Mus musculus: one gene and its partners. The protein of the gene in region 4 purifies or fractionates together with the protein of the main gene of each other region. This does not show direct contact. Links are inferred from orthologs where the notes say so. Each region holds a gene or a part of one and is shown on either strand. Other genes may lie near its edges. The genes, in order: Snai1, Parp1, Daxx, Dnmt1, Hdac1, Hdac2 and Ezh2.

The links.
Region 1: the proteins of Dnmt1 (region 4) and Snai1 purify together in Homo sapiens (affinity purification with mass spectrometry; 3 studies listed by BioGRID, with this or other methods). This does not show direct contact. The link is inferred for Mus musculus from reciprocal best matches to the Homo sapiens genes DNMT1 and SNAI1.
Region 2: the proteins of Dnmt1 (region 4) and Parp1 purify together in Homo sapiens (affinity purification with western blotting; 4 studies listed by BioGRID and IntAct, with this or other methods). This does not show direct contact. The link is inferred for Mus musculus from reciprocal best matches to the Homo sapiens genes DNMT1 and PARP1.
Region 3: the proteins of Dnmt1 (region 4) and Daxx purify together in Homo sapiens (affinity purification with western blotting; 4 studies listed by BioGRID, with this or other methods). This does not show direct contact. The link is inferred for Mus musculus from reciprocal best matches to the Homo sapiens genes DNMT1 and DAXX.
Region 5: the proteins of Dnmt1 (region 4) and Hdac1 purify together in Homo sapiens (affinity purification with western blotting; 11 studies listed by BioGRID and IntAct, with this or other methods). This does not show direct contact. The link is inferred for Mus musculus from reciprocal best matches to the Homo sapiens genes DNMT1 and HDAC1.
Region 6: the proteins of Dnmt1 (region 4) and Hdac2 purify together in Homo sapiens (affinity purification with western blotting; 3 studies listed by BioGRID). This does not show direct contact. The link is inferred for Mus musculus from reciprocal best matches to the Homo sapiens genes DNMT1 and HDAC2.
Region 7: the proteins of Dnmt1 (region 4) and Ezh2 purify together in Homo sapiens (affinity purification with western blotting; 6 studies listed by BioGRID and IntAct, with this or other methods). This does not show direct contact. The link is inferred for Mus musculus from reciprocal best matches to the Homo sapiens genes DNMT1 and EZH2.

The regions. Positions count from the first base shown.
Region 1 is NC_000068.7:167,536,465-167,541,153, reverse strand, and holds the start of Snai1 (zinc finger protein SNAI1), read right to left. Parts: upstream 2,960-4,689; 5' UTR 2,865-2,959; coding exon 2,783-2,864; intron 2,484-2,782; coding exon 1,956-2,483; intron 1-1,955. UniProt on the Homo sapiens protein: Involved in induction of the epithelial to mesenchymal transition (EMT), formation and maintenance of embryonic mesoderm, growth arrest, survival and cell migration.
Region 2 is NC_000067.6:180,571,745-180,575,640, forward strand, and holds part of Parp1 (poly [ADP-ribose] polymerase 1), read left to right. Parts: intron 1-1,907; coding exon 1,908-2,073; intron 2,074-3,896. UniProt on the Homo sapiens protein: Poly-ADP-ribosyltransferase that mediates poly-ADP-ribosylation of proteins and plays a key role in DNA repair.
Region 3 is NC_000083.6:33,912,336-33,916,377, reverse strand, and holds the end of Daxx (death domain-associated protein 6), read right to left. Parts: coding exon 4,009-4,042; intron 3,791-4,008; coding exon 3,571-3,790; intron 3,106-3,570; coding exon 2,652-3,105; intron 2,573-2,651; exon of another isoform or gene 2,536-2,572; coding exon 2,316-2,535; intron 1,036-2,315; coding exon 976-1,035; 3' UTR 788-975; downstream 1-787. UniProt on the Homo sapiens protein: Transcription corepressor known to repress transcriptional potential of several sumoylated transcription factors. Down-regulates basal and activated transcription.
Region 4 is NC_000075.6:20,950,082-20,954,412, reverse strand, and holds the start of Dnmt1 (DNA (cytosine-5)-methyltransferase 1), read left to right. Parts: upstream 1-1,433; 5' UTR 1,434-1,466; coding exon of another isoform or gene 1,467-1,625; coding exon 1,626-1,705; intron 1,706-1,789; exon of another isoform or gene 1,790-2,567; intron 2,568-4,331. UniProt on the Homo sapiens protein: Methylates CpG residues. Preferentially methylates hemimethylated DNA. Associates with DNA replication sites in S phase maintaining the methylation pattern in the newly synthesized strand, that is essential for epigenetic inheritance.
Region 5 is NC_000070.6:129,532,295-129,536,190, reverse strand, and holds part of Hdac1 (histone deacetylase 1), read left to right. Parts: intron 1-1,464; coding exon 1,465-1,577; intron 1,578-3,896. UniProt on the Homo sapiens protein: Histone deacetylase that catalyzes the deacetylation of lysine residues on the N-terminal part of the core histones (H2A, H2B, H3 and H4).
Region 6 is NC_000076.6:36,998,219-37,002,459, forward strand, and holds the end of Hdac2 (histone deacetylase 2), read left to right. Parts: intron 1-195; coding exon 196-351; intron 352-2,150; coding exon 2,151-2,208; intron 2,209-3,310; coding exon 3,311-3,341; 3' UTR 3,342-3,670; downstream 3,671-4,241. UniProt on the Homo sapiens protein: Histone deacetylase that catalyzes the deacetylation of lysine residues on the N-terminal part of the core histones (H2A, H2B, H3 and H4).
Region 7 is NC_000072.6:47,553,367-47,557,262, reverse strand, and holds part of Ezh2 (histone-lysine N-methyltransferase EZH2), read left to right. Parts: intron 1-1,112; coding exon 1,113-1,233; intron 1,234-2,998; coding exon 2,999-3,139; intron 3,140-3,896. UniProt on the Homo sapiens protein: Polycomb group (PcG) protein. Catalytic subunit of the PRC2/EED-EZH2 complex, which methylates 'Lys-9' (H3K9me) and 'Lys-27' (H3K27me) of histone H3, leading to transcriptional repression of the affected target gene.

The DNA of each region.
Region 1 (4,689 bases), on a different chromosome or scaffold from region 4:
TTTGTAACCCAGCATTGTAGAGACAGAGGGAGGAGGGTCTCTGGTTTAAACCCAGTCTGGCTGAGTTAACAAATACCGACAAAACCAAACATCTGCTGCACCCCTACTATGTGCCAAGCATGAGGCTGTAATGCCAAACGGATTTTCAAAACAAGGCAAGCCTCCCGTCCCTCCCAGCCTGCTAGTCCACAGGCGGTGCCCTTTGGTTGGATTCTAGTGATGGAATTCGGGGCTGAGGAATGGCGCCTGGGTGTGCTGAGCCTCTGGATAGAGGAAATCTCAGCAGGGATCCTGCGGGATCCACCCACTCAGCAGGTATTCACTGAACAGAGCCGCTTTCAGCCCCCCTAGGGGGCACAAACCCACACAAGTCTTCAGCTACACAGGTGGGGCTCCAAAGCCCTGGGTGGTGGTGGACCTTGGCAATCTGTGGGTCCCTACAAGTAAGGGGTGTTGCCCCCTCCCTAGAATGGCCTAACCACTACCTGTCCGTTTAGCAGGGACAGGCGAACTGAAGTACTTAACAAAAGGGAGGTTTCAAGATAACACAGGGTGGGATGGAGCTGGGAGTCTCTGGGCTTGCACAGGAAGTGTAGACACCCCCCCCCCCACACACACACACACTCTCTCTCTCTTCACAGATCCCCGACCCCCAGACGCCTTCATAGTGTTCCTGGCAAGTGTGAAATCGGCACCAGGCCGGCTGGGACAAAGGCCACTAAGGGGGACACTGTACATGTGATACCCCCTGGATTAAAGGGGCCTGCCGTGCAATGAGCCAGCAGCTGCGGCCAAGAACAGGTGCTGGGCACCGCTGCCCCGTGCACCTGCTCTAACCCTGCAGGCCCCCACCCCCTGGGCTACCATTAAGACACACAATGGAACTCCTAGAGAACTGGGTGGTGCATTTCAAGGAGGGTTTTGTCTGAGCCATGCCTTTACATCAAAACAAAGTCCCTGGGGGGTGGGGGGTGGTCGGAGGCAGCCTAGGACCCTGAGGGCTTCAGCTCTTCCCCAAAGTAGAGCCCCACAGCTTAGCAACCCAGCCGGAGAGAGGCAGCCTGTTACACTTTTATAGGTTAAATCTGAGGCAATCCGTGCCTGGGGGGGGGAAACGGGTAATCTTATTCAAGTAATAAAGGTGTCAGTGAGACCTGCAAATACCTCCCTGCCACCCCCAGGCCTCACTGCCCCAATGCTGGCCACCACAAGAGACGCACAGCTCTACCCCAAAGCCTGACACACTTTCCAAAGAGCAGCCCAACCGGAACCCCCACCAAGCCTGGCTGAAGCCTTCCCTCACTTCTAGAAGCTTCCCACGTGGCCCAAGGCTGAGAGGACAGCAAAGTCATGTCTTTGTTTCTCTTCTTAAAAAAAAAAAAAAAAAAAAAAAAAAAAGATGTGTCTATTCTATTCTTGTCCTACATGGATTGGTATGTTGCCTGCATGTATGTCTGTATGAGGGTGTCAGGTCCTCTGGAACTGGACTCTTAACAGGCAGTTAGTTAAGTTGTGAACTACCATGTGTGCTGGGAATTGAACTCAGGACCTCTGGAAGAGTAGCCAGTGCTCTAACCACTGAGCCGTCTTCATAGTCACTGGGAAGTCATTTCTTAGTGGCACCTGCACCTAGCACTTCACTCTACAAAGACCCCACGAAGTGTTCTCTGATACATTTTAGAAACGAGGAAACTGGGGAAGTTCTCGACTCAGGATTCAAGGCCAGGTGCAGAATATCCTGTCTAGCAATATCCTGTCTGACTTCTACAGTGTGGGTTGAGCCCGGATAGGGAACACCTCTTCACTCCTAGCCTCGAACAGCAAGGTACAGAATGGAGAACAACCAACATCTACTTTGTCCACTGCTTGGCAGCCTTAGGAGTAAGTGTTGAGTCCCCCCAGGGTCTAAGGCCAAACAGCCCAGACTCAGAGCTCAGCTATGCACACTCACTCACCAGTGTGGGTGCGGACGTGGCCCTGAAGCAGCCAGGGCCTAGAGAAGGCCTTTCCACAGGTCGTGCAGACACAAGGCAGCGTGTGGCTTCGGATGTGCATCTTCAGAGCGCCCAGGCTGAGGTACTCCTTGTTACAATATTTGCAGTTGAAGATCTTCCGCGACTGGGGGTCCTTGGCCACCGAGAGCCTGGCCAGCTGCTTGGGAAGTTGGCCCAAGCCAGGGAAGGCGATGAAGGCCTCGGCCTCCAGGGAGGAGGCCGAGGTGGACGAGAAGGACGACGGCGCCGGCGAGGGCGGGCTGGGCGGCTGGGAGCTTTTGCCACTGTCCTCATCGGACAGCGAGGTCAGCTCTACGGCCTTGGGGCTCTCCCGCAGCGGGAGGGTGGCCCAGGCAACCGGCCGCACTTGGGGTACCAGGAGAGAGTCCCAGATGAGGGTGGGCAGCGAAGCGGCGGGGTTGAGGACCTCGGGCGGAGGGATGGCGGCCAGCAGGTGGGCCTGGTCGTAGGGCTGCTGGAAGGTGAACTCTGCGGGAAGAGAAGAGACAGCAGGGAGTCAGCTGAGCGGATTCTCGGGGCGCCAGGTGGGGGGGCTTCCCGCCCGCCCCTCCCCTCCCCCGCCCGGACTCCGCAAAGCTACCCCCGCCTTCGAGTCTTCAACTCCCGGAGCCTCCCCGTCCCGGGTCAAAGACACCCTCGGTGGATCCCAACTGCCAAGACCCGGAGCTCCAGATCCACCTGTCGCGCCCGCAGAGCCCGATTCTCACCTCCCCCCAGCACCCTTGGGATCCCCCCCAGCCGCCCGCGTCCCGCACCCCACCACGCACCCACACACGCGTCCTGCAGCTCGCTATAGTTGGGCTTCCGGCGGGGGTCGGACGGCTTCCTGACCAGGAAGGAGCGCGGCATGTTGGCCAGAGCGACCTAGGTAGTCGGGGTCACCGGGTCGCGCAAGGTCGGTAGTCAACTCCGCTCGCGAGGCCCGGCCGCACACTACGATCCCCTAGCAGCAGCAAATTCCTTTAAGTACCAGGGCTGGGGGCGTGACCGTACTGTTGGTCACGCCCCTTTGTCAAGGCTGAGCCAATGGCTGGCGGCGGCGCGGCCGGAGACTGAGACCGGAGCAGGTGCGCCTGGGCTGCTGGGGCTCCCGCCGCGTGGCGCTGAGATTCCGCTTGGGCTCCTCCCGGACCGGACCGCGCGGCTTCCGAGCTCCTCGGGCGACCCCTGGTGGCCGCGCCTGCCCCACGACGAGCGCGGTGCCCCGCAACATCCCCGAGCTGCTGACCTTTGGGCGCTGGGGAGCCAGAAAGTGCGATGATATGCACGCGCTTAGGGGTTCCTGGAACTGTCTACACAGCCCTGAACAAAACACTACCCAGGGATGCCCTACGCAAGGATGGCTTCCCGGCCGTGGGAGAGAGAGACAGACAGAATAAACAGAGGATTCGAATACTAAAGGGAGGTGTGATTTGATGAAAGGAGGTGGGGAGAGACAGCTGTGACTGTCAATGAACGGTCACCTGACAGGGGAGGGTGTCTATGACTTCCTAGAGGAAGTGAAGAAGCACCGAGGGGAAAGGCCCGGGGTAAGAATCAGTAACTTCTGCCTGTCCAACCTTTGAGAGCAGGTTCCAGGATGAGGTTGGTGTTGGGCAGACCCTGAGGGGTCCGATTTCCTGGCCTCGGGTCTTTGGAGGAGTTTGGACTTTGCCTTACAGGCACTGGGGAGTCACGGAAGGACTTTCAGCTGAGGACGGACGTGTTTAGAGTTGCATTGTGAAACACCAATAAGGGCAGGTGCGAGGCAGAGGTAGCAAGGACCAGGGCTAAGGCTCCCGACTTCCTGAAAATCGTGTTGGAACGTTCACAGGGAGGAAGGGTGGCCTCGGAAACCAAACCCACACCCCCATAGTATGGGGTTATAAACACCTATAAAGCAGAGGGTCTACGGAAACCTCTGGGGCACCAGCTAGCATCGAGTCTCTAGGCACTGGAGGTAACAACAGGGAATAGAATCAGACTCCCAGCACTGGGGGTGGGGGGTGGGGGAGTGGGAGGATGGTCAGACAACAGGCAACCATCGTGGAGAACACTGCCCTCTGGGTAGATTTAGTTCATCCATGAGTCTCCCTGAGTCCAGAGGGAGAGCACACAGCGCCCCACCACCACCCTCGTCCCAACGGACAAGTCAGCTGACTAGGTTTTGACTTTTCTCCATCCCCTATGATCAGAGAACAGGCTTTCCTACCACGGGGCCTTGCTTGGTACCTGCCTTCCTCCAGTCCTGTTTTCTCTTCCAGATCCACACCTGGCTAGGCTTCCTTTCATCCCTTTCATCCTTTGTTTCAGCAGCCCCCCACTCCACCCCCTCAGCCTCCCCCAAGCCTGCTTAGTAAGAAGGAAAGAGAAAGGCAAATGAAGCCCACAAGGGGAGGCCTGTTCACAACCTCACACCTGCCAGAGGCCTGAAAGTAAAACTTGGTCAAATGATGGATGCTGGCTGGCATGCCGCTTAGGAAAGGTGTGACTTAGCCCCTAACGGGTGACAGGTGACTCTCCACGCCCAGGAAGCTCCCTTCCTAGGCCGACTGCCACCTAGGGTTTTTCAGCCAAGCTTTTCCTCAAGAGTGTCTGAAAACACCTAAGCCCGCCCTGCCCTCACTGGCAGACACATCCTGATTCGCTTATCTAGGGCGGGGTTGTTGGCATCGAATTTTAACTGTCAAAAGGA
Region 2 (3,896 bases), on a different chromosome or scaffold from region 4:
GTATATGACTACACAGCGTAGCTGTACAGATAGTTGTGAGCCTTCATCTAGTTGTTGGGAATTGAATTTAGGACCTCTGCTCGCGCTGGCCAACCCTGCTCTCTCAGGCCCGAAGATTTATTTATCATTATACTTAAGTACACAGTAGCTGTCTTCAGACACTCCAGAAGAGGGCGTCAGATCTCATTATAGATCTCATTACGTCAGATCTCATTACATGGTTGTGAGCCACCATGTGGTTGCTGGGATTTGAACTCAGGACCTTTGGAAGAGCAGTCAGTGCTCTTACCAGCTGAGCTGGTTTTGTATCAAGTGCACCATTAGGGAGTACTTCTTGGTGTCCCCAGTTTAGGGCACCCAGTCTGGGGGTGGTAGGTGTTTGTTCTTGTAGAGCCATAGCTATAGGCTGAGGCAGGCGGCATAAGCCATTTGCCACAGGGGTCGGGGATCTGAAGCTGCTGATCCGATGGAGTGTCTCGAGCCAGAAGCTGAGTCCGCTCAAAAACACCATTTATTATCTGGTCTAGGGGCCATCTTTGCTGCCGGTCCCCCACCTTCCTCCTCTGCCTGACTGGGGACAGATTCTGTCTCAGTAAAACTGCCCTGAGGGCAGCAGTGGGCGGGGCCTTGAGGCACCTGAGGAGGCTAGCAGGGCGTCTTCCTTTCAGGAGCCTGCCCGAGCACATAATTCCTATTGGGTCACCTAGGCAGATCTTGCCTTGCTTTTTAAAGTTTTTGAATGAGTGTCTTGCCTGCATGTTTGTCTGTGCATCTCCTACCTGGTGCCAAGAGAGGTCAGAAGATGTCAGATCCTCTGAAACTGGGGTTACAGATGGTTGTGAACGACCTTCTGGGTGCTAGGAATAGAACCCAGGTCCTGTAGTGGAACAACTTAGCCACTGAACTGTCTCCTTAGCCAACTCTGCCTTGCACTGTAATGTAACTAAAAGGAGGCTGACTCTAACCTGAAGCTTCAGGGGATCTCTTCAATACTGCTTATGTGTTTTCCCTCTCTGCCCTTTGAAGCAGCCCTAATGAGCACTCACCTCAGTGGGTCAGAAGGCAGTTCGTGTCAAGTAGCTCTTCTGAAGTTGGGGTGGGGGAGAACTCAGTATCAGATTCTTGTCCCATTCGCCTCACTGTGTCTCCATTGTTGCCACCATCTGTGAGCTGCTGCTGCTGTTGCTGCGGTGTTCCCAGAGGAAACTGGGTTAATGTCGTTGTCTCCCTCATCTCAGGCTGTCACCATCTCTAAAACAGGCAACCCTGGGTGTAGAGCCTCATAGGCGAAAAAAGTGGCCCAGTGCCTTTACCTCAGGCACATTGGGGGATCAGGTGCCTCCCTGAGGCCAGTATTCAGCCTATCTCCAGGCCTGGAAGCCTCTGCCTCAGGCTCCTTGTTCCCCTTGCAGAAGCCGTTCCTTCTATGCACCTGTGCATGTATGCCTTGCTGTGTCTGACACTCTGCTGACACATTTTCTCTGCCTGGTTCATTATCTAGGTCCCGTTCCTTATTATTTTTAACCACAGAGGTACTTAAGAGCCATTTCTGGGCCATCCAGACCCTTGAGTTCAAGTGCTGCTTCCTGGCTCTTCTAACAGGTCTACGGGACACTTTAGGAATTCTGTGTGTCACACCAGGCTGTGCAGTAAAGTCAGAATGTGGCACACACAAGGAACCGGGGTTACCCTGTCATCCTGAGATGGATTTGGGGGTGGCCAGCCATAAGTTTTAGCTTTTAGGAAAATACCCAGGATGAGAAGCCAGAAGCTGTTTCTCATCCATTTGCCAGTCACCATGTGACCTGAGAGAGCATCAGGCAGCCTCTGTTGCTGCCTGGGCTGGGGGCAGGATTGTGGCCTGCATGGAGACTAACGACCCCTCACCTCTGCTTTATGTTCCTTAGTCACCCATGTTCGATGGGAAAGTCCCACACTGGTACCACTTCTCCTGCTTCTGGAAGGTGGGCCACTCCATCCGGCAGCCTGATGTTGAGGTGGATGGCTTCTCTGAGCTGCGCTGGGATGATCAGCAGAAGGTCAAGAAGACGGCCGAGGCTGGAGGCGTGGCAGGTGTGTGGCCAGGGGTTCAAGCGCTCTCTCTCTATCTGCTGAGTTGCTTCTGTGGCTCCTCCTCGGGCCGTGTTGACTCTTGTGTGAGGTTTGGTGTCTTATCTTCCAGATGATGGAAAGGAAGACTTTAAGCTTGCATGGATTTTTTTTTTTAATAGGTTTTAATTTTTTATTTTATTAGTTGTGGGTGTATGTGTGTGTATGTTAGTGCATGCACACGTGTGTGGTACAATATGCATGTGGAGGTTAAAGACAGCTTTACTGGGTTGGCTCTCTCCCACGGGCTCCAGGAATTGAACTCAGATCGCCAGGTTTGCATAGCACGTGCTTTAGGAAAACTGAGAGAAACACGAGAGCAAAGCGCTCCCATAGCCACCCCACCCCCACCAGTGCGTCTGATAGAACCTAGTGGGGAAACCCCCACTCAATTCCCGATTCGGTATGCACCCAAGAATCACGAACGGACGACCATCTTGATGTAAATACATGAGGACGTTTAATTACAGAGCTCCGGACCGACATGTATCCCACACAGGAGATAACGGATGTAAAGCTAGGGGTTTTTATGGGGTGAGGGGCTTAGGGGTGTGGAATTCAGCATAGCGACACACTATTGGCTTATTCTAACATTAACAGAAAGATTACATGTCAGCAAAAGGGCATCAGAACTTTGTTCCTGTGGGCTGGGGGCTTATCTTGTTCACATAGCAACCAGTTGATGTATGACTTGGCGTCGAGGGGCAGTAGACAGAGGGGAGGTTCCGGCCAGGTGGTGTTGACCCAGACAAGATAGCCCTGTTTGTCCTGCTTTGTTCTCGGCCTCAGACCGAGGGCTCATAGACAACTCTTTCACATGAATCACAAGTTACAAAATCTCATTTTCTTTCACATTGATGTCCTTTGCTGATGGTGTGTGTTCTGTGGGCTTGGATGGATGGATGGATGGATGGGTGGGTGGATGGATGGATGGATGGGTGGGTGGGTGGACGGACGGATGGATGGATGGATGGACGGACGGACAGACAGACGGATGGGTGGGTGGGTGGGTGGGTGGGGGGGTGGATGGGTAGGTGATGTACCTACCACTGATGACTTCCAGGTCCTGTACACGGATGGTACCCAGGAGGAAACCTCTGCCAATTCCTTCCTCCTTCTTGTTTGGTTTTTTGGTTTTTCGAGACAAGGTTTCTCTGTGTAGCCCTGGCTGTCCTGGAACTCACTTTGTAGACCAGGCTGGCCTCGAACTCAGAAATCCGCCTGCCTCTGCCTCCAAAGTGCTGGGATTAAAGGCGTGCACCACCATGCCCAGCTCCTTCCTTCCTTCTTAAAAACAAACAAAAAACAGACCTTCGGCAGGCAGATCTCTGTGAGTTCAAGGACAGCCAGTGATATATAGGGAGACCACATCCCCAAACAAATAAATACAGACTGCAGAGCCAGCATTCCTCCTGAGTGCTGAAATTGCAGGTGTGCGCCTTCAACCCCTGGCTTCTGTTCTGACTTCTAACTTCGTGGGTTAGAGTTGCCTGGGTTTTGTTTCAGGGAGAAAAGGAAATCTATGCGCTTTCTTCTCTGCTGCTTCATTCAGCGCGATGCCCTTGGTCCTGCTCTGCGGCCGAACGGAAGGGTGTTCTTTGTTTAAGCACCACAATTTGCTTGTCCTGTCCTCTGTTGGTGACTCTGGGTAGTTGACTGCATTCCCGCAAGCTTTCTTTTTTTTTTTTTTTTTTTTTTAAAGATTTATTCATTATTATATGTAAGTACACTGTAGCTGTCTTCAGATGCACCAGAAGAGGACGTCAGATCTCATTACGGATGGTTGT
Region 3 (4,042 bases), on a different chromosome or scaffold from region 4:
GTTTGCCCCCGCCCCCGAACCCCGCCCCCCAGTCCTCCCCAATCGCGCCCTCGGACTGTTCCCCAGCCTGAGGGGGGCCCCCAGCCCCGCGCGCCCCCGCTTACCTGGCCGCGCGCCCCCGGGCCCCCCCCCTCACTCCGCGACCAGAGCCGCAGCCCCAGCCCCTCCCGCCGCCATCTTGTGCCGACTCCCTCCGCCTTCCGCCTCCACTCCGCCTCCCGGACCTGCGACCTTAAAGGCGCAGGCCAGCACCCCTCCTGTGCCGCTGGGCAAAAGTCGACCGACAGCGACACTTTTCCTTTAAAGAACCGGCGCTTCATTCCGCCTTAAAGGTACCAGGTCCCGTCTGCGGCTGAGGACTCAGGAATTGGTTTGGCCGAAACCTTCGTTCCCCTTTAATCCGACAAGCCTACCTTGTCTCATTGACCAGTGCTGGCTTCCGCTTCCCAGGCTCCACCCCGAGCTCTGGACGTTAGCTTGCTCGCGGGATCTAACAGCCCTTTTCCCAGCATATGAGAACCCCCCAAGCCCCGCCCCCCTCCTCCAGGCCTGGATTGGCCAAATCACCTTGAGTCAGCCCCTGATTGGCCTTTTCACTCAGACCGCTCAAAACGAGAGAGGAAAGCTGCTTAAGAAGGCTTCCGAAGCACTTATCTTTAAAAGTGCCTAGGGGAAGAAGGCTCAAGGAAGGGTTAAGGATGAGGACGCCCTAAAAAGAGAGCCAGGATAGAAAAGGCAGATCCAGGTGACAGCTGTCACAAGAGAAAAGGCAAAGTAAAGGAAAGAATACAATAAAAAGAAATTCATTGTTTATTAATGTGTCTGTGTAAAACTTAAAACATTTTGATTTTTTTTTTTTGTCAAAAGAAACACCATCAAAACGGGAGGAGCTCTGTCCATCTTTTACTCCATCATCTTCCAACAGCCATACAAAAAACCTTCTGGATGCAGGGAGCACGGGGAGCATGGGGCCTGCTAATCAGAGTCTGAAAGCACGATGATCTCCTCCGGGTCGCACTGTGTGGCCACACTGGTCTGCAGACAAGTCAGAGGAGAAAGAAGGGTGAGCCAGGCATGGCGGCTCACGCCTTTAGTCCGAACACTCAAGAGGCAGAGGCGGGCTGATATCCGAGTTTGGGGCCAGCCTGATCTACTACATACAGAGTTCTGGGACAGTCAGGGCTACATAGAAAGACCTTGTCTCAGAAACAAAACAAAGCAGGATGGAAGGCTGGAAGATGGCTCAGCCACTAAGCACGCAGCTGCTTTGCAGAAGACCCGAGTGTTGTATCCAGTCTCACATGGCGGCTCTCTGCCTTCTCCGTGACTCCAGATCTATAGGATCAGACGCCCTCTTCTGGCCTCCATGAGCACCAGACACAAATGTAGCACATAGGTATGCATGCCAACAAAACACCTATTTACATAAAATAAGTCTTTTTTGTTTTGTTTTACATGGTCTCACTATGTAACCTTGACTGTCACTGGGTAGACTAGACTGTGGCCTTGAAGTTAGAGAGACCTGTATGCCTCTGCCTCCTGGTTGATGGGGTTAAACCTAAACACACACACACACACACACACACACACACACACACACACAGCCAGTCTTTGAGACTTTGTGTGTTCTTTTTCCTCCCCTTTATCCGCCCCCATCACTAGATAGAAAAGAAAGGATAGACAGGAGAGACAGGATCTCTGATTCTAATGTCTCTCTTCCTGTTTGTTCTTTGAGCAAGACTACTAACAAACCACAACCAACCCCTGTACTACCACCAACCATGCTTCCTGGAAGGTGGGGAGGCTCTGCCATTTATATGCTCTCCTGAAAAGTTCCCAGAATTCCAAACATCACTTCACACAACCAAAGCAACTATCTGTAGCTGGTAAAGCCACACCTCTAGAGCTCACAGTCACAGTCAGTTGGAAGCAGCCCCACACTCCACACCGGGATTAAAATGAAAACCTATTTCACTGGTTTTTTGTTTGTCAGTTAGTTGGTTTTTGGGTTTTAGACAGTTTCTCTGTGTGGCCCTGGCTGTCCTGGGACACACTTTGTAAACCAGGCTGGCCTCAGACTCAAGAGAGATGCTCCTGCCTCTGCCTCCCAGGATCAAAGGCATGTGTCGCTACCACTCAGCTCTGAGTTGTTATAAAGACGCCAAAATTCCAAAACTGTCACTACACAAGCATGCATGCACGTGCACGCACTTGCGGGCGGGCAGGAAGATGGGGAAAACAGAGGAGCAGGAGGTGCAATACCCACAGAAAGGGAAAGGGTGAGAATGCAGTGCCAGGGGACACTGCCCACTCACCTTATAAATACACTGCCGGAGAGACTGAGCCTGGGGTGTCTGGAGAAGCAGGGATGGAGAAGGGCTGCACAGAGAGCTGGTCACCAGTTCATGGCTGGGAGAGTCCACCCTTGTGGAGGAATCAGCGACAGAAGCCACAGAGGCCAAGGGGGGGGATGGCATAGGCTGGACACTTGTGTTCTGCCCACTGTCCTGCTGTGCCATCGGTTCTTTTATATAGCTAAGGACAGAAGAAAAATGACAGAAAGGGCCTGAGGCTGCAGGGAGACCTAGGACATCAGGCTCCCTTCAGAGAGTCCTGCCTCCTTGCCTGCCTTCCTCCTCACCCACTATTACCTGTTTCCTAACAGTCCAGAGCCCAGTTGCTTCTTTTCCTTCCGAAATCTCTTGCTGGGGGGACTGGCATCTCTCCAAGTGTGAGAAGAGACACGCCCATTGACAGATGTAGAGGTAACCACAGCTGCCCCATTTTCCAAGATGGTGGGGAGGGAATCTTCCGACTTTTTCCTGGAGGAGGAAATGTCCCTTTCCTCAGGCAAAGCTTCCATCTCTAGCTCAGCGAGCTGGGACACAGGACTCTCGTCTCCCAGGAGCGGCTCGAGGAGCTGCTCTCCACTGCTCTCAGCGTCAGTGCTGGGAGGGTCCAGGGATGCCCCTGGCGGGGATGCTGGGGTCTCTGTCAGTCCTCTCTTTTGCTGCCCCTCGGGGGTCCTGAGCCCTTCTGCAGGCTCTGAATTCCTTCTATGGAAAAAGTCTGAAGGCGATGTGGGACTCTCATTTCCTTCATTATCTGGAAAAGAAAGGGGAGGGGTGGATGAGGAACAGGGATAGAGGGGCTGTGCAAAGGACATAGGAGAGGGCTGGAGAGATGGCTCAGTGGGTAAGAGCACCGGACTGCTCTTCCAAAGGTCCAGTGTTCAAGTCCCAGCAACCACATGGTGGCTCACAACCATCCGTAACGAGATCTGACGCCCTCTTCTGGTGTGTCTGAAGACAGCTACAGTATACTTACATATAATAATCAATAAATCTTTAAAAAAAAAAAAAAGGGCATAGGAGGAGGAAGAGGAGGAGGAGGAAGGAAGGAAGGAAGGAAGGAAGGAAGGAAGGAAGGGAGGGAGGGAGGGAGGGAGGGAGGGAGGGAGGGAGGGAGGGAGGAAGGGAGGGAAAGGCTCAACAAGGAGCTCATGTCCGACAGAGCAGAACTAACACCACAAGGATGCTCCCCACAGAGGAGCTCCGTTTACGCATATACCTCCTCCTTCCTCTTCTTCATCACCCCCCTGATCTTCCTGCAACTGTTCTAGATCCTCATCTTCATCTTCAGTAGCCTCTTTCTCCTCCTCTTCCTCCTCCTCCTCCTCCTCACTTTCCTCGTTATCTTCGTCGTCGTCATCATCATCGTCATCATCGTCATCATCAGTCTCAGCTTTGGAGGTAGTAGGGCACTCCTGGGATGCCATTCCGCTAGGACCCTGAGGGAAAGAGCAGTCTCTCTTAAGGAATCCCGTGCCCCACAGCTTTTTGATTGGTAGGAGGAGGACTCAACTCTGGGAGCTCATGACTGCGAGACTGCAAGGCAAGCACATCACCAATATTCTTTCCCCACTTCCATACGCTGCTCCAGGAGTCACCCTGGAGTGCCTAGTGGCAGTGCAGGGCGCAGACAAGATCTGAGTTAACCCTTCCATACCTCACCAGATTCCGAGGAGGCTTTGGGGGGGTCT
Region 4 (4,331 bases):
AAGTTCTTTAACAATTTCACATTTGTGTACATGTGCGTGGGTATGTGATGTCAACTTACACACATGGTCAGAGGGAGACTACTTCTGGCTCAGTTCTCTCAGCTGTCTTTCTGGTCCTCGGTCATTCTTTTATTCATCTGGTGCTAGGGATGACTCCCAAGGCTTCTGCTGTGAGGTTAATATTCTGCTGTTGAACTGTATATTCTAAATCCTTCCATACCATGTGGAAGGTAAATAGAAAATATCATTTCTCTGCGATCTGCTTTTTTTTTTTTTATTAAACCCAGATGGCAGAAGTGGTTCCTGGCCTTACCACTATACTACTTCATTGGTATATTGGTCCAGTTCACTTCTGAATTATCTTTTTAAGGAGGTGATTTCAGCTCTGATAGATGAAGCCACTGAGGAAGAGTCCAGATGGTGTGCTCATGGTCGTTTTAGAGGACAAGGGGGTGAAGATGGGGTTAGACGGGAGGCCTTTTGTTTAAGGGTTCATGTATTTCTTACCAAAATGGTAACAAAAGATGAGCAGAAGGGGAGGGGGATAGAGTTATGCCTATAGTTTCTCCTTCTGAAGATGTAAGTTCCAGAAATATGGATCATGGACATATAGTTAGACACTACAGAACCACACATTTCATCTTCCAGTGAAGATGGTAGTTACAGTGGGGCATACCCATAAATCCATCACTCAAGACCAGAGAGAGGCAGGAGGTCTGAACTTTAAGATCAACCATATTATCTATTGTATAGATAGTAAAGTCAAGCCTATCTTGGGTTAAAAAATTGTTGGTGCATTTAAGAGCAGTGTCCACAGCGGCCTTCCCCTGGAAGTGGAGTTACAGGGCTTCGAGTGGCTGGATGTGGGTGGGTGCTCTCCAGGGAGGAAGCTAGCCACTGCGCAGACAAGCCCACTTTTGTTTGTTTTGTTTTGAGACTGGCTTTCTCTGTGTGGCTCTGGCTGTCCTAGAACTCCACTGTATAGACTTGGCTGACCTCAAACTGAGATCTGCCTGCCTCTGCCTCCTTAGTGTAAGGGACTGCAGGCATGCGCCACCACCGCCTACCTTTTTCCTTTTTCAAGAAGATTTTGTTTTTAGACCAGGCTCAATACACAGAGATCCTCTGGCTTTTGCATTCTGAGTGCTGGAATCAAATGCATGCATGCCACAGCCTCTGCCAGACTCAAAAGATTTTTTTTTTTTTAAAGTTGTGTTTGTGCATGTGAGTGCAATGCCCATAGAGGCCAGAAGAGGCTGTAGGACCCCCTGGAAGTGGAATTACAGGGGCTTGGAGCGGCTGGATGCGGGTGCTGGCAAGCAAACCAGAGTCATCCTCTGCAAGAGCAGCACTACCTGCTCTCAAGTGCCGAGCCACCTCTTCAGGCAAGGGGGAGGTGGGTGGCGCCAGTCGCAGCACGGACGAGCCCACTATAGCCAGGAGGTGTGGGTGCCTCCGTTGCGCGCATGCGCACTCCCTTCGGGCATAGCATGGTCTTCCCCCACTCTCTTGCCCTGTGTGGTACATGCTGCTTCCGCTTGCGCCGCCCCCTCCCAATTGGTTTCCGCGCGCGCGAAAAAGCCGGGGTCTCGTTCAGAGCTGTTCTGTCGTCTGCAACCTGCAAGATGCCAGCGCGAACAGCTCCAGCCCGAGTGCCTGCGCTTGCCTCCCCGGCAGGCTCGCTCCCGGACCATGTCCGCAGGCGGTAGGTGCCACGCAGGGTGGGGGTGAGGGGCGGGACCGATGCCGAGGCATATATTGGGGGTATCTCCGGGTGGCCCTGCGGCCGCTGACAGCCAGGGCGCGCATGCGCGGGGCAGCGTTTGGCGCGGGCTGTGCTTCCTGTCGCGCGTGCCCTTAGCTGTTGGCGCCAAAATGGGTGGGGGCCGGGGTGCTGGCAAGCCCATTGACTGGGAGCTTGAGGGAGCAAGGGGATCAGCCCTCTGAAATAGAACAAGCTTGGGGACACCCTCAGGGGTTCCCCTCTTTGGTCAGCCAGGCTCCTGGGTGTGCAGGAAGTGCCCCTCTCCCGGCCTGTGGACACCCTGAAGCCCCCACTCCGCTCCAGCCTCCACTTCCGGTGCCCTGCAGATCCCGCCGCGCCCACCCGAGGGTCCCTCCGCCGGTTCCCCTGGCCCTGGTTCAGAAGGGCCCTCCTTCCCAGCCCCGCTGTCAAGTCCTAGGACCTTTTCTCTCTCATCCTGCCGGGCCGGGCCTGGGCAGCTTGAAGCCCTCGTGGGATTTTGTTTTGTTTTCATCCTAACGTAAAGGAGCTCCTGCGATCCTGGAGCTATCAAAGAGACTCTGCCTGGAAAGAGCTGGTGCTGCAGAATGGGCCCTCCACTTTGGCAGTGACATAACTCTGTCCCGAGATCCCAGAGCAATCGAGGAAACCTTTAACTCCATTCAAAGTGTTTATCAGGGGGAAGGAAAGATGAATGGTAGTGAGATGTCTCGGCCCCCGCCCTATTATTTTAGCCCCTGTAAACCAGTTCTTTCGGTCCTGGCGCCATCGAGGAAGCTTTTTACATTGTCCAGTGTTTATTTCGAGGAGTGAGGGATGGCAGGTAAAGTCCCCCATTTCAGTGCATATGAATCCCCCCTCTCCCCCCCCCCTCCCCAAGCAATCAAGGAAGACCTGGGTAATGGGCCCTCCACTAGTACCTTCCACGCCTCCATGAGGACGGCTGTGTGCAAGGATTGGCGGGAACACTGGATCCCGCTTCCTGTTCCAGAAGGGCATCGTCAATCCGTTCATTCCTGAAAGCTTGTCCCGCGCGTCATTGAGCATTAGTCATAGGTGCCCTGCTAGTGCTGGACACATCCCAACCCGATTCTGAGTCTGCTTTTGCTATCCCGGGGGTTAGTTTACTGGGGTGATGCCAGGCCGATTCCCATTTGAGCTTTGGGGGATAAAGTGGGAGAAGCGGCTGAATTCCCCTTGTCAAACACCCCTGCCCCCAGCTCGCCCCCAGGGTTGGACCTGAAGCTCTGTACTGAGCTACACCTTCAGCCCTTTCACTTGTATTGGAGACTGGCCTGGGATTCTCTCTCTCTCTCTCTGCCTGTGTCTTCTCAGTGCTGGGATTACTGACATGTGCCATCATGATGGTTTGGGTTCGTTTTTTGAATGCTTGTTTTTTGATTGTATAGGCATAAAAATCTGAAGCCTTTGTGAGACACCTCAACAGATTTCTTTTTACTACCAAAAAATACATACATAATTAAAGTATTTGGTTTTTTAAAGTTAGACAGTCTGTAACCTGCCTTTCTGTCTTTTGTCTTTCCTGTTCTCGGGTTGGTTGGTTTACCTGTGTATGCTTTGTTTTCATTTCCAGGAAGGGATTCCTGTAGGCCAAGCTAGCCTCCGGCTGGCCGTCTAACCCAGGCTAGCCTTGGTCTTTTGTATCTACCCAAGTGCTGGGATTACAGGAATGTGACACTGTGCCTAGCTTAGCTTTTCTTGATTTAGAAAAACTTACTAGCAAAATATCTACAGTATGAGATTTGAGAGGTACCTGCATTTGGGAGGATAGTCCAGGAGCTGAGTAGGCCTCGAGGTAGCTTCCGTCCATGCTGCTATTCTGTATTTAAATGGCAGTTTGTTTAAATAGAAGTGTGCATAGTTCCTCTGGATATATAAAATATAGTATCTTCAACATTTGGATTGTAAGTCTTTAAGTGTGTATGTGGGTCTATGCTACAGCTTGTGTGGCAGTCAGGACCCCTTGCAGGAACTGGCCTTTCCACAAGATTCTGGGTATGGGAACTCAGACCATCAAGCTTGGTAGCATTCCTCTTATCTCACCAGCCCCAGACTGACAGTTTCTCTGAAATATAGTAAACCTTGTGTCATTCAAAAATCAAATCATGCTTTTTAGTGAGATGTTGTGGCCATGGCCTGTAACATCAGGAGGCAGGAGCAGGAGGGTCACAAGTTAGAATTCAACTAAGGTCTCATTTCAGACATTCACACCTTGCAAGGTGAGGGATTTCTTTTCCTGAGCAGGGGGTGTCCTTTCCATAGCTGAGATTCCTTGGTTGGCATGGGTTTTTCATTTCTTTCAGTTTTTTTAAATTAAAACTTGTTTTCCAGGCACGGTTTCTGTGTAGTTCATCTGGTCTTGATCTTGCCACGCTCGTGCCTCTGGAGTGATGCGTGTTACATGCTTGGCTTGCTTTTAACTTATTTTTTGTTAAACCTGTGTATAAGTGGTGTGTGTGATATACATATATACACATATATATGTACATATACACGAAGGTATGTGTTAGGGGACAGCTTTTTAATTTTCTGTGCATATGCACCACAGTGGCATATAGAGGTCTTC
Region 5 (3,896 bases), on a different chromosome or scaffold from region 4:
TGGCTTGTTTCTCGTGGTTTGCTCAGTCGGCTTTCTTACAGAACTCAGGGCTGCCACCTCAGGCATGACCCCACCCACAATGGACTGGACCCTCTGTCATTAATTACTAATTAAAATATTCTACAGGCTGGCCCATGGCCATTTTCGAAGTTGAGGTTTCTCCTCTCCAGTGACCATAGTTTGTGTCAAATTGACCTAAATCGAGCCAGCACAAGGTAGATTGAACAAATGTTGACTTCAGCCTATTGAAGTCAGAGCCCGGAGGCAAGAGGAGCCAGTAGGAGATGTTCTGAGCTGCACTTTAGGAGAAATAGCTGGTCATGATGTGGCAGGCAGAGAGCTTGAATCGAAGGCCAGGAACCAGTTAGAAGCAATTTCTGTAGCTGAAACAAGCAACAAGGAAGTTTGGTTTTATCTGTAGGCTGTGGTTATAGTCCCAGGTAGTAGTGAGTGATTTTGTCGTGGAAAAGGAATTCCATAAAGGTGCGGTGAGTTGAGTCACCACACTGCCTATTCATTCCCAGTCAATTTTATCCCATATATAGGTGTTCTAGATTCACCCTTAAACACTGGCTTATGTAGGAACCACGGGCTCTTCCTTTTATTTAAGGTGAGGAATACTCATGGAAACTAGAAATGAGCGTTAGAGTTCTGGGAGTTTGCTGGGTTCTCCCAGGAGAGTGTTTAACTGTGTTAGTAAAGCTGCTTCTCTAAGAGCTGGAGAGGTGGCTCAGTAGTTAAGAGCACTGAGTGTTCTTCAAGAGGACCAGGGTTCAATTCCCAGCATCCACATTAGGCAGCTCCCAGGAGACACCTGCACCAGCATGTACATGTCCACACACATTTATGTGTAATTGAAAAGGAAATCTTTTTTTGTTTAATTAATTAATTAATTTATTTATTTTTTTTTAAATATTTTTTTTAAATATTTATTTATTTATTATATGTAAGTACACTGTAGCTGTCCTCAGACACTCCAGAAGAGGGAGTCAGATCTTGTTATGGATGGTTGTGAGCCACCATGTGGTTGCTGGGATTTGAACTCCTGACCTTCGGAAGAGCAGTCGGGTGCTCTTACCCACTGAGCCATCTCACCAGCCCCAATTTATTTATTTTTATTGTGTGTGCATTGGTGTTTGAGGGGGTCAGACTCCCTGGAACTGGAGCCACCATGTGGGTGCTGGGAATTGAACTTTAGACCTCTGGAAGAGCAGTCAGTGCTCTTACCCACTGAGCCATCTCTTCAGTCCAAAAATAAAATCTTACAAACCGGAGAACCTGGGGGTATCTGTGGTGTCTTTAATCCCAGTACTTGGCAGAGTTAGGTAGATCTCTGAGTTTGAAGACAGTGTGGTCTACAGAGTGAGTTCCAGGACAGCCAGGGGTGCACAGAGAAACCCTGTCTGCACATGGGTGCACAGAAAAACCAAAATAAATAATAAAGCAAACTGTCTTCTCTTTCAGGGGATGTTGGAAACTACTATTATGGACAAGGGCACCCCATGAAGCCTCACCGAATCCGCATGACTCACAATTTGCTGCTCAACTATGGTCTCTACCGAAAAATGGAGATCTACGTGAGTTCCTGAGTGCTGCCCCTGCCTGCCTTGTCAGCTTGGGTTCCCTGCCTGCATTCCTTTTTGGGGGATGGGGGGGAGGGTTTGGTTTTTCGAGACAGGGTTTCTCTGTGTAGCCCTGGCTGTCCTGGAACTCACTTTGTAGACCAGGCTGGCCTCAAACTCAGAAATCCACCTGCCTCTGCCTCTCAAGTGCTGGGATTAAAGGCGTGCGCCACCACACCTGGCTCCCTGCCTGCATTCTTTAGTTTCCTTTCTCAGCTGCTCATTCATTCAGTGGCTATTATTTGGCGAGTAGATGAAGGTTCTATTTTTTTATTTTTAAGCACTTCAGTGTCAGTACGTGTAAGCTAACCAAGTTTACCGTGTCTGTGTAACAATTAAAGAATGCTAATGATAGAGAGGTGAGGAGTGAAGAACGGAGCCGTGGAGTTCCTTCAGACTGACTAGAAAGTCAAGGATGAGGCTGAGGTTCTAGCACTTTGGTGGGAGAGGTAGGATTGGGGTTTCAAGGCCACTCTGGGCAATTCACAGCCAGCCCTGGTATAGGAGACCCTGTCTCCAAAGAATGAAAACGCCTAGAACTTAGTGCAGCATTCACAAAGGGACTGGTATCCAAGTCAAGGGTTGGACAGAGGCACAGACCGAACTGAGGATGACGTGGTGTTTGGAGAAAGCAAAAGTCTTCGGGAAGTGCGCTGTAAGCCAACATGGAAGCCCAGTGTGGGTACTGCGGCGTGGATGGCTGGAGATTCAAGGCTGGCCTGGGCTACAGTCTTAAATGAGTGCGAGCTAATCTTAGCCTAGAATAAAACCCAACAACATGCTGGGTAGTGGTGCTTTGAGTCCCAGCCCTCAGGAGGCAGAGGCAGTCAGATCCCTGAGTTGAGGCCAGCACACAGTACACAGTCAGAGTATGGACTGTCTCTGACTTGGGGGCTCTTGTACCTCATTGTCTTCATCGAAGCCATAGCTGAAGGTGACCTTTGCACTTGTGACCCTCTCGGCTCCCCTCTGAAGAGCTGAGCTCCATGGTTGCCCGCAGGCACACCTTTTTATACAGCGCTGTCGTTGTCTTCCAGTGCTATGCTTCCAGCCTCAGTGTAAGCTCGTGTCTTGTTCCCACATACAGCTCTAACTAATTTTGTCTGAGCTTCCAATTTTAAAAGAAAAACTGGAACTTTGGATTATATAATACCACCTAAGTTTAAAATGTTGGCTCCATGTTTTGTCTTTGTTTTAATTTTTGGCTATAATTCCCAAATCTGTTTTTATTTTTTAGCATATGTGTAAAGAATACCAATATATGTGTAGACTAAATTTGGCTTGATTCTCAGTTTGCCTCTTCTGCAGGCAGTGCGGTACAGATTGAGAGCTTTTTTCCGTTTGGTTTGTTGAGGCAGGGTTTTGTTGAATTTGTAGTCCCAACTGGCCCCAAACGTAGGTAGTCTGGTTGCCCCCAGCCTCCCAAACACATGGTCACAGGTTGGCTTCCAGCTCAGTCTGTGGGGAGTGATGGCCTTGAGTTTCAGACCTCCTGCCTCCTTCCAAGGCCTGGATTACCAAGATTGATTTATTTATTTATTTATTTATTTATTTATTTATTTATTTATTTATTAATTATATGTAGTTACACTGTAGTTGTCTTCAGACACTCCAGAAGAGGGCGTCAGATCTCATTACAGATGCTTGTGAGCCATCATGTGGTTGCTGGGATTTGAACTCAGGAGAGCAGTCAGTGCTCTTAACTGCTGAACCATCTCTCCAGCCCCATGTCTAGTTCTTACAGCACTGGAGATTTGAACCCAGGACTTCATGAACACTAAGTATTCTGGCTGCTCTGCAGTGGCAGATACTTGTTAGCTGGGTGTGGTTGTACATACATGGCTTTGCTCCTAGTACTTGAGAGGCAGAGGTAGAGGAGTCTCTGAATTCAAGGTCAATGTGGTCTACATGTCAAGTCTCAGGCTAGCCAAGACTACATAGAGACACCTTAAAAATGTCTTAAAAAATAAAATACAGGACTGGAGAGACTGCTCAGCTGTTACGAGCACTGACTGTTCTTCTGAAGGTCCTGAGTTCAAATCCCAGCAACCACATGGTGGCTCACAACCATCTGTAATGGGATCCGATGCTCTCTTCTGGTGTGTCTGAAGACAGTAACTGTACTTTACTCATAAATAAAAGAAATATTTAAAAATTAAAAAAATAAAATAAAACAATGTAGCCAGGTGGTGGTGGCGGTGCAAGTCTTTAATCCCAGCACTTGGGAGGCAGAGGCAGGCAGATTTCTGAGTTCCAGGACAGCCAGGGCTACAC
Region 6 (4,241 bases), on a different chromosome or scaffold from region 4:
ATTACATATAGATTTAGCTCCCTGATGTCTCAAAGCCTGAATTAATATCACCAGTTTCATTTTGTGTGACTACACAGACATGGCTGTGTCCAGAAAGTAGGCACTTGATATATCTATCTATCTATCTGTCTTACCTATGCAATGATTGTAGAACCTGTGGCTATTATCAAATTTATAAAATCTTTTGTGTATCAGTTCGAGCATCAGACAAACGGATAGCTTGCGATGAAGAGTTTTCAGATTCTGAGGATGAAGGTGAAGGAGGTCGTAGGAATGTTGCTGATCATAAGAAAGGAGCAAAGAAGGCTAGGATTGAAGAAGACAAGAAGGAGACAGAGGACAAGAAGACAGGTCGGTTTATGTTTTGGTGACCATTTCACTTTCCCTACTTAAGGGTTGCACTGTGTCTCTTAGCGATCCTGCAGTCACACGTCTCACTTTAGGCAGGTAACTTTTCCTGGTGTAAGAGATAGTTAGTTACCGCTCATGCTTACTGTTTAGTGCTTCAGAGCTGACTTAAAGGTTTTACAGTTGTGCTCAAATTTTCTTTGTGGTATAGAAACCTTCCTTTTAATAACATAGTAGTAAACGTTACATGTCATGGGATGGGGTTAAGGGGATGACAGTAGTTACAGATGTTGGGCCTCAGAACATTTACTGTAGCTTAGGTGGACTTAGACTCAGTGCTCTTCTGCCTTGTCCTCTTATATACTGGGATTGAAGGCATGCCAGTACACCTGGCTAAAATTCTAAATAATTTATACTGGTTAAAGCTGACTTCATGTAGCAAAAGTTAAGCTACATAGTCCTTTGAAAAGTTACTTTAAGAGTGAAGACTCTTTAGGAACTGAAGAAACTAAAACTGAGGAAAGATAGGAAGGGGCAGTTTCTGGTGTCTTCCGGTATTTCATTCAGAGTGTTTATTTAGCATGCCATTACAGCACCTCGTTAGCACTCTCAGGTTTCTCATTGCTATGCTGAACTGTGCAGGGGTAAGGAGTGGGCAGTAGCCTCTTTAAACATGATAATGCTGCAAGTTTTAGTTGACCTACTAGTCAAGTGAGGCTGCCTGGCTTTACTAGGCCTCACTATATAGACATGGCTGCTCCGGCTACTTACTGGGTGGCCTTGGATTCACACCATTGTCCTTTCTCAGATGCCTGGGTGCTGGGATTACAGAAATGTGCCACCACCTCCAACTCAGTTTCTTTCTATTTTAAAATATCTTCTGCATTTTCTTTTTTTTTTCCAAATAGGAAAGTGATAAAGTAAATTGACTCTTGGTATTTTAGACAAAATACCACAATAATCTATGGGTCATAACCTCAAATAAGACCCACCACCACCCCCTCTTGGCACTGAGTAAAAATTTAGCCAGAATTATCCAAGACACTAAAATGTGAAATCTCCATTGTCGGCATGTAGATTTGTATGGGAGGTGACAGCAGTGCCCTGCAGTGTCTGCATTGCCCAAGCGTGCTGCTGTCCCTGCACCTCTCCATGAGGCCATTGCTTCATAACTAATTTACACAGAGAAAATACTCTGGCTAATCTGGGACATTTACTTTAATTACTGTATTTAAGTTATGAAGTTCAGTTTAGTAGTAATTAAAAATTTAAGGTTAGAACAATGGGATATTGTGGGCCAGCAAGGTAAAGGTGCTTGCTGCCAAGCCTGATTACATATGATCTGCATGTTGGAGGAAGACTCCTGACTTCTACAAGCTGTCTTTTGACCTCCCTATGGAAGTCATGGTGTGGATGCCCAAACATACACACACACTCTGAATAAATAAATGTTAAAAACAAAAAACATAATCTAGCCTCTTGCCTTTAGGATCACGTCCTTCTTACAGTGCAGACACAGTTCTCTTGAGCTCCTTCTGTCTTACCACTGCTTCCGTGCCTCAGTCCTTTTACAGTTTTCCCTGGAAGATACCCTTTCCTCTTACCTGAGAGTTTGTTCATTCTTTGGGACCCACATTCTAGAGAACTGTGTCTGCACTGTAAGAAGGAAGTGATCCTAAAGGCAAGAAGCTAAATTATTTTTTTGTTTTTAACATTTATTATATATACACTATATACATACATATATATATTGTGTGTCTTATATTTCAAAATAGACATCAATATTTTTCTTCTGTCTTTAGATGTTAAGGAAGAAGACAAATCCAAGGACAATAGTGGTGAGAAAACAGACCCCAAAGGGTGAGCGATGCTTGTGTCTGTAGACGTCATGCATGTCTTGGGGGTTGGGCGGGGGCATGCATACTTGAGAAATACTGGCACAGCCTGAGAACATACAATGAGTGCAGGTCTGCGTGTGGGTAACGTGCTTAGGCTATTTGACCGGTAACTTTTATGTATGCAATCGTGTTTTTCATGATGCTCATATTACTGTGCTTAGAATACTTTGATGTTAGGAGACAGGCTAGTTTAAGGAAAAAACATTGGGCTAAGTGAAAGCCTATTGGAGAATTTTGTTATCAGAATGCATGTATGGCTAGGTAGGTGAAGTGTTGCGGTAAATCTCCAACCCAAATATGCCCTGGCAATGAAACACAACTCAATTAATATGAATACATGCTGTGTGCCTAGAATGGGCAGATCTACCGCTACACTACCATCGTCAACAACTGTGAGAGCCCTTAGAACTTGCAGTTTCTCCAGGCCACGTGCTTCTGCTCCACTTTTCTTCTTCCCCCTCCTCTGCATCCTCACCCTCCCCTATTTTCTCCTCTCTCTCCCCACCTTCTTCTCCACCTTCCCTTTATCTGCCCAATCATCAGCTCTCCTTTATTTTACAAATTAGGTGGGAAGCAGGTTTATGGGAAGTAAACCTGAGTGCTGACTCATTGCTTGTTTGTAGGCCCTCACTGGAGAAGGAAGTAGCATCAAATATAATAAGTAAGCCCCAGGGCTATCCACACCTGTGAAGAGGCTTGAGTCTATAATCTCAGTCCACTGGAGAGGCTGAGCCCAGAGGATTGCCATGAATTTAAATCCACACTAAGCTACATAGTGATTTTTAAATCGTCACTCTGGGCTGAAGAATGAGAGTCTGTGTTAGAAGCAAGCACGTGTGCTTGGTCACCCAGTTGTTTGCTAATTTTGAAGGATAACTTAGAATGCTCAGTTGTAAAACAACTGGAAAGATTAAGGCTTTTATTGCTCAGAAAAAAAAGAAAAAACAACAACAACAACAACAGTGAATAGCTTGGTGTGAATCTATAAGACTGTGCAAGTAGCCAGGTCAGTGCTCCTAAACCAAGACTATTACTTTTAATATTTCATGATCCTCTTTCAACAGAGCCAAGTCAGAACAACTCAGCAACCCTTGAATTTGACTCTCCAACTTTAGGAACCTCGAAAAGTGAGACGATTCTGGGATAAGAAACCTTCCCTGTTTGAGGACATTGGCTTCATTTTATACTGTTTTGGCATGGACTGTATTTATTTTCAAAATGGCTTGTTTTTGTTTTTCTTGGCAAGTTTTATTGTGAGTTTTTCTAATTATGAAGCAAATTTTTTTTTCCACCATGCTTTATGTGATTGTATTTAAATTGATGTGTTATTATGTCAAAAGCCGGATCTATTAAAGAAACAATTGGCCTTTCTGAGCTGATTTTTCCATCTTTTGTAATTATCTTTATTAAAAAATTGTACTTGGATCGTTTTCTGTCTGTTTATTATGAAAGCTTGTTTCCAAGTCAATGACTTGATGGTCTTAAGACTGGAACATACCAAAAGGAATGTCAGTGTCAGAGACCATCACTAGATCTACACAGTGCTTACTGGCTCTAACAGCTATTTCTTACTTCAGGAAAAATAACAGTGTCACTTTGTGTCAGGAAGACTGGTATTTCATAAATTATTTCCAAATTCATAATCTGTGCACTTGGGATGAAGCAATTATTTTTGAACTGAATCAAATACTCAGAAATTGGAAATTGTGAATTGAAAAAAGAAACCTGTCCAACCAATAACTGGCCCAACTTAAGACCCATCCCATGAGCCAGCACCAGTCCCTGACACTTAATGATACTCTGTTATACTTGCAGACCGGAGCCTAGTGTGGCTGTCCTCTGAGAGGCTCCACCCAGCAGCTGACTAGGACAGATGCAGATACCCACAGCCAAACAGTGGATGGAGCTTGGGGACTTTTATGGAATAGGAGGAAGGATTTCAGGCCTCCAAGGAGATAGGAACTCTACAGGAAGACCAACTGAGTCAACTAGCCT
Region 7 (3,896 bases), on a different chromosome or scaffold from region 4:
GACCAAGGCAACTTATAGAAGGAAGAGTTTATTTGGGCTTATGGTTCCAGGGGGATAAGAATTACCATGGCAGCCAGAGGCGTGGTGGCTGGAGGAGCATGAAGCTAAGAATCCCATTGTAACTGAATCACTAAACAGAGTGGGGAGTTGGGGATGCTGACTTGAGTGAGCCATGGAATCTTCAAATGTTATCCAGTGACATACTTCCCCAAGCAAGGTTGTACTTGCTAAACCTTCTAAACGGTGCTACCAACTAGGAACCAACTGTTCAAATACATAAGCCTATAGAGGGTGTTTCTCATTCAGATCTCCAGAGTATCACTAGATTCTTATTGTATCAAATATTTTAATTGTTAGATCACCAAATAAAGTTTTTTACAAACTCTTTGTTGATGAGTATTTGTAGTTTATTTGGATAAGCCACATATCATCGGTTCTATTACAGGTACCTTCCATTTTAGTATCTGCAATCGGAATGTCTTACACTTGAGGTCTCATGTAACCTGCAGCAGTTTCCTTTCTTAGATTAAGTGTAGTTACAGTTTTCTCTACAGATCTGGATAAAGACAAGTACTCATGGAAAATACTGGTTTTAGTTATCTCATTAACTTTTTTTGTGTGGTACCAGGAATTAAACTCAGTGTTTAGAATGCTGGGCAAGTGTATCACATTTAAGTCTCACACCGAGGGCTTAAGTTTTAAGTTTTATGTGTATGTGTCCTATGTAACTCTACACACACACACACACACACACACACACACACACACACACACACACACACACACACACGTATGTATGTATGTGTTTGTGTTTATCATGACAAATTATAGGGGTCAGAGGACAGCATGTGGGGAGTTAGTTCTCTGCCTACCACATGGGTCCCAGGGATTGAGTTCTGGTTGTCAAGCATGGTCTTTACCTGCTGAGCCATCTCTCGGGCCTTCAAGTTTTAAATAAATGCTTAAAGTCTAGTTTAAAAATTAGAATACATCTGGTTTTAACTTTTCTTTCTTTCTTCCTTTCTTTTTCTCTTTTTCCTTCTTTCTCTCTCTCTCTCTCTCTCTCCCTCTCTCTCTCGCCCTCTCTCTCTCTCTCTCTCTCTCTCTCTCAGGTGGAAGACGAAACTGTTTTACATAACATTCCTTATATGGGGGATGAAGTTCTGGATCAGGATGGCACTTTCATTGAAGAACTAATAAAAAATTATGATGGAAAAGTGCATGGTGACAGAGGTGAGCTATGTGTATATTCTCTTTAGTTGAGGGTCTGAGGGTTTTCTTGTTGCCATGACAGTGGCAGCTCTTAAAAAGGAAAGCATTTGATTGGGGCTTGCTAACTGTTGAGATGTTTATTTAGTCCAGCCGGGCGGTGTTGGCGCACGCCTTTAATCCCAGCACTCAGGAGGCAGAGGCAGGCGGATTTCTGAATTCAAGGCCAGCCTGGTCTACAAAGTGAGTTCCAGGACAGCCAGGGCTATACAGAGAAACCCTGTCTTGAAAAAACAAAAACAAAACAAAACAAAAAAAACCAAAAAAACCCCCCCCAAAAAAGTTTAGTCCATTATCATCGTGGCAGTAAGCGTGGTGGCCCGCAGGCAAGTATGGTGCTGGAGAAGGAGCCTAGAGTTCTATATCTGGATGGCAGACAGCAGGAAGAGAGAGTTACACTTAATCAATAAAAATTTTCTGGGGTGTCGCTGTGCCCCCCTTTAATCCTTAATATCTATTGGAGGTTTCTGCCTCATTTTTGTTCATGTAATTCCCAAGTAATTGACACAGAAACAGTTCATATTTATTTACAGGCTGTAATCCTATATTTGGCAGATTCTGAGCTCTTCTATATACAAACGACAGGCCCCGTGTACTTTAGTTTGCATTTTACTCAACTTGCTCTGTACCATGTGTGTCCTCAGGACCAGCTTCTCTCTCATCTTTTCCTTCTTCCTCCGGGTCTCTCTAGAAATCTTTCTTGGTTATAAGTCCTACCTTTTCTATGCCCAGTCATAAACCCAGCCATTTATTGATCAATCAGTTATTATTGGGGAGTATTCTTTGCAGTACCTGTGTTACTGCAATGCCCCAAGATCAGGTTGTAGTCTGGACCAGGGCATAGAACTCAGGTTCTGAATCCACAGGTCACAAGGCTAACCCCAACAGCCACTGGGTCTGGCTTAAGCACCTAAGACCTCAAAGCCTGCCTCCACTGACACACTTCCTTTAGCAAGGCTACACCTACCCCAACGCTACCACACTTCCTAATCATGCCACTCCCTGTGGGCCCATAACATCATTTTCATTCAGACTGTCATAGAAGGGTTTCTTAATAGAGTTCATAAAAAATCTTAAGAGCTAGTCTGGGCTTAAAGGCATACATTTTTAGTATTTCTTTAGTTTTTCCATTTGAGGATCTTATTTGCCACTTGGTAATCATCAGTAACTGGTTATAAACTACAGCAGAAACAACACATAGATTTTATAGGAATAGAGTGTGTGTTTTTTGGTAAGCTTTCAATAGTAAAACTAAGTTTAAAGATCTGTTTATGGGGCATGTGCTTCAGAAAGGCTTTCTACTCAACAATGCCTTCCTCAGGGCAGCCAGAGCCCGTGAAATTAAGTTAACAGAATCCTGGATTCAGGTTTCTGAACAGGAGGCTCTCTTGATATCTGAGCAAACGGAGATGTGGTCATATCATAATGCAAAACAGGTTTGAAGTGGTCAGTCAGTGACACAGATTGGGAGGAAGCTAAAACTACAGGTCCTTATGGATTAAGGGAGTAATATACCCTGGATCAGCTGGAGAGGGTTGATTCCTGAGAAAGCAACAGATGTTGAAGGTAAATGCTGTTTTCTTTGCTGGCTGTGAAATTGATCTTGACTATCCTTACCTGCCCCTTAGGTTACAGTGCTGATAGGCCTTCACTATTCTTCCAGATTAGAAAACATATACATAATCTTGTCATTATCTTTTTCCCTCTGTTTCTGACATTTGGCTTTTAGAATGTGGATTTATAAATGATGAAATTTTTGTGGAGTTGGTAAATGCTCTTGGTCAATATAATGATGATGATGATGACGATGATGGAGATGATCCAGATGAAAGAGAAGAAAAACAGAAAGATCTAGAGGATAATCGAGATGGTATGTTTAATACTAGTTTTTTGTTTCAGCTTTATATAATTCTTTTAAAAAAAACCTATCAGGCTGGTAAGATGACTCGGTGGGTAAAGGTGCTTACCACCAAGCTTGATAAATCGAGTTTGATCCCTGGAGCCCACTCTATAGAAGAAAAGAACTGACTCTGCTGAGTTGCCCCTGATCTTCACATCAGTACACGGTGGCATACATACACCATCTAATTAATACATGTAAATAATGTAAAAGCCACCCATGTATGGGTATAATTAAACTACCCCCTTTTTGTTAAGTGTATGATCAAATATATTTTCTGCAGCATTTCATTCTCCACTAGAGCTTCTTTGTTTCCTTTGCCTAGGAAAAGGACATAATCCTTTTTTGCACTTTGCTGATCAATTATCATAATTATCTTTATAATAATATCATGTATCTTATATAAGTTGTATACTAATATACTTATATACCAGCTTATCCTTCCACAGCTTTACAATGTATATATTATTATCAGCTCCATTATATATTGGAAATGGGTTTAGGGAGGTTAAAGGCTAAGAAACTTAAGATAGCTATATTGGGAAAAAGTAGAATCTGAGCCCCAAGTTGATGACCTAGGTCTGACCTGAGAGCTGTGCTATTGTCTCTACACTTGTTAGTTGTTGCTAGAAAGCAGTCTACCCCAAATAGTAGAGAGTCCATAATGCTGTCTTGTATTTAGCAAGCTTACTGTTAAGACAGCATAGCAGAGTTTGGGGGGGGGGGT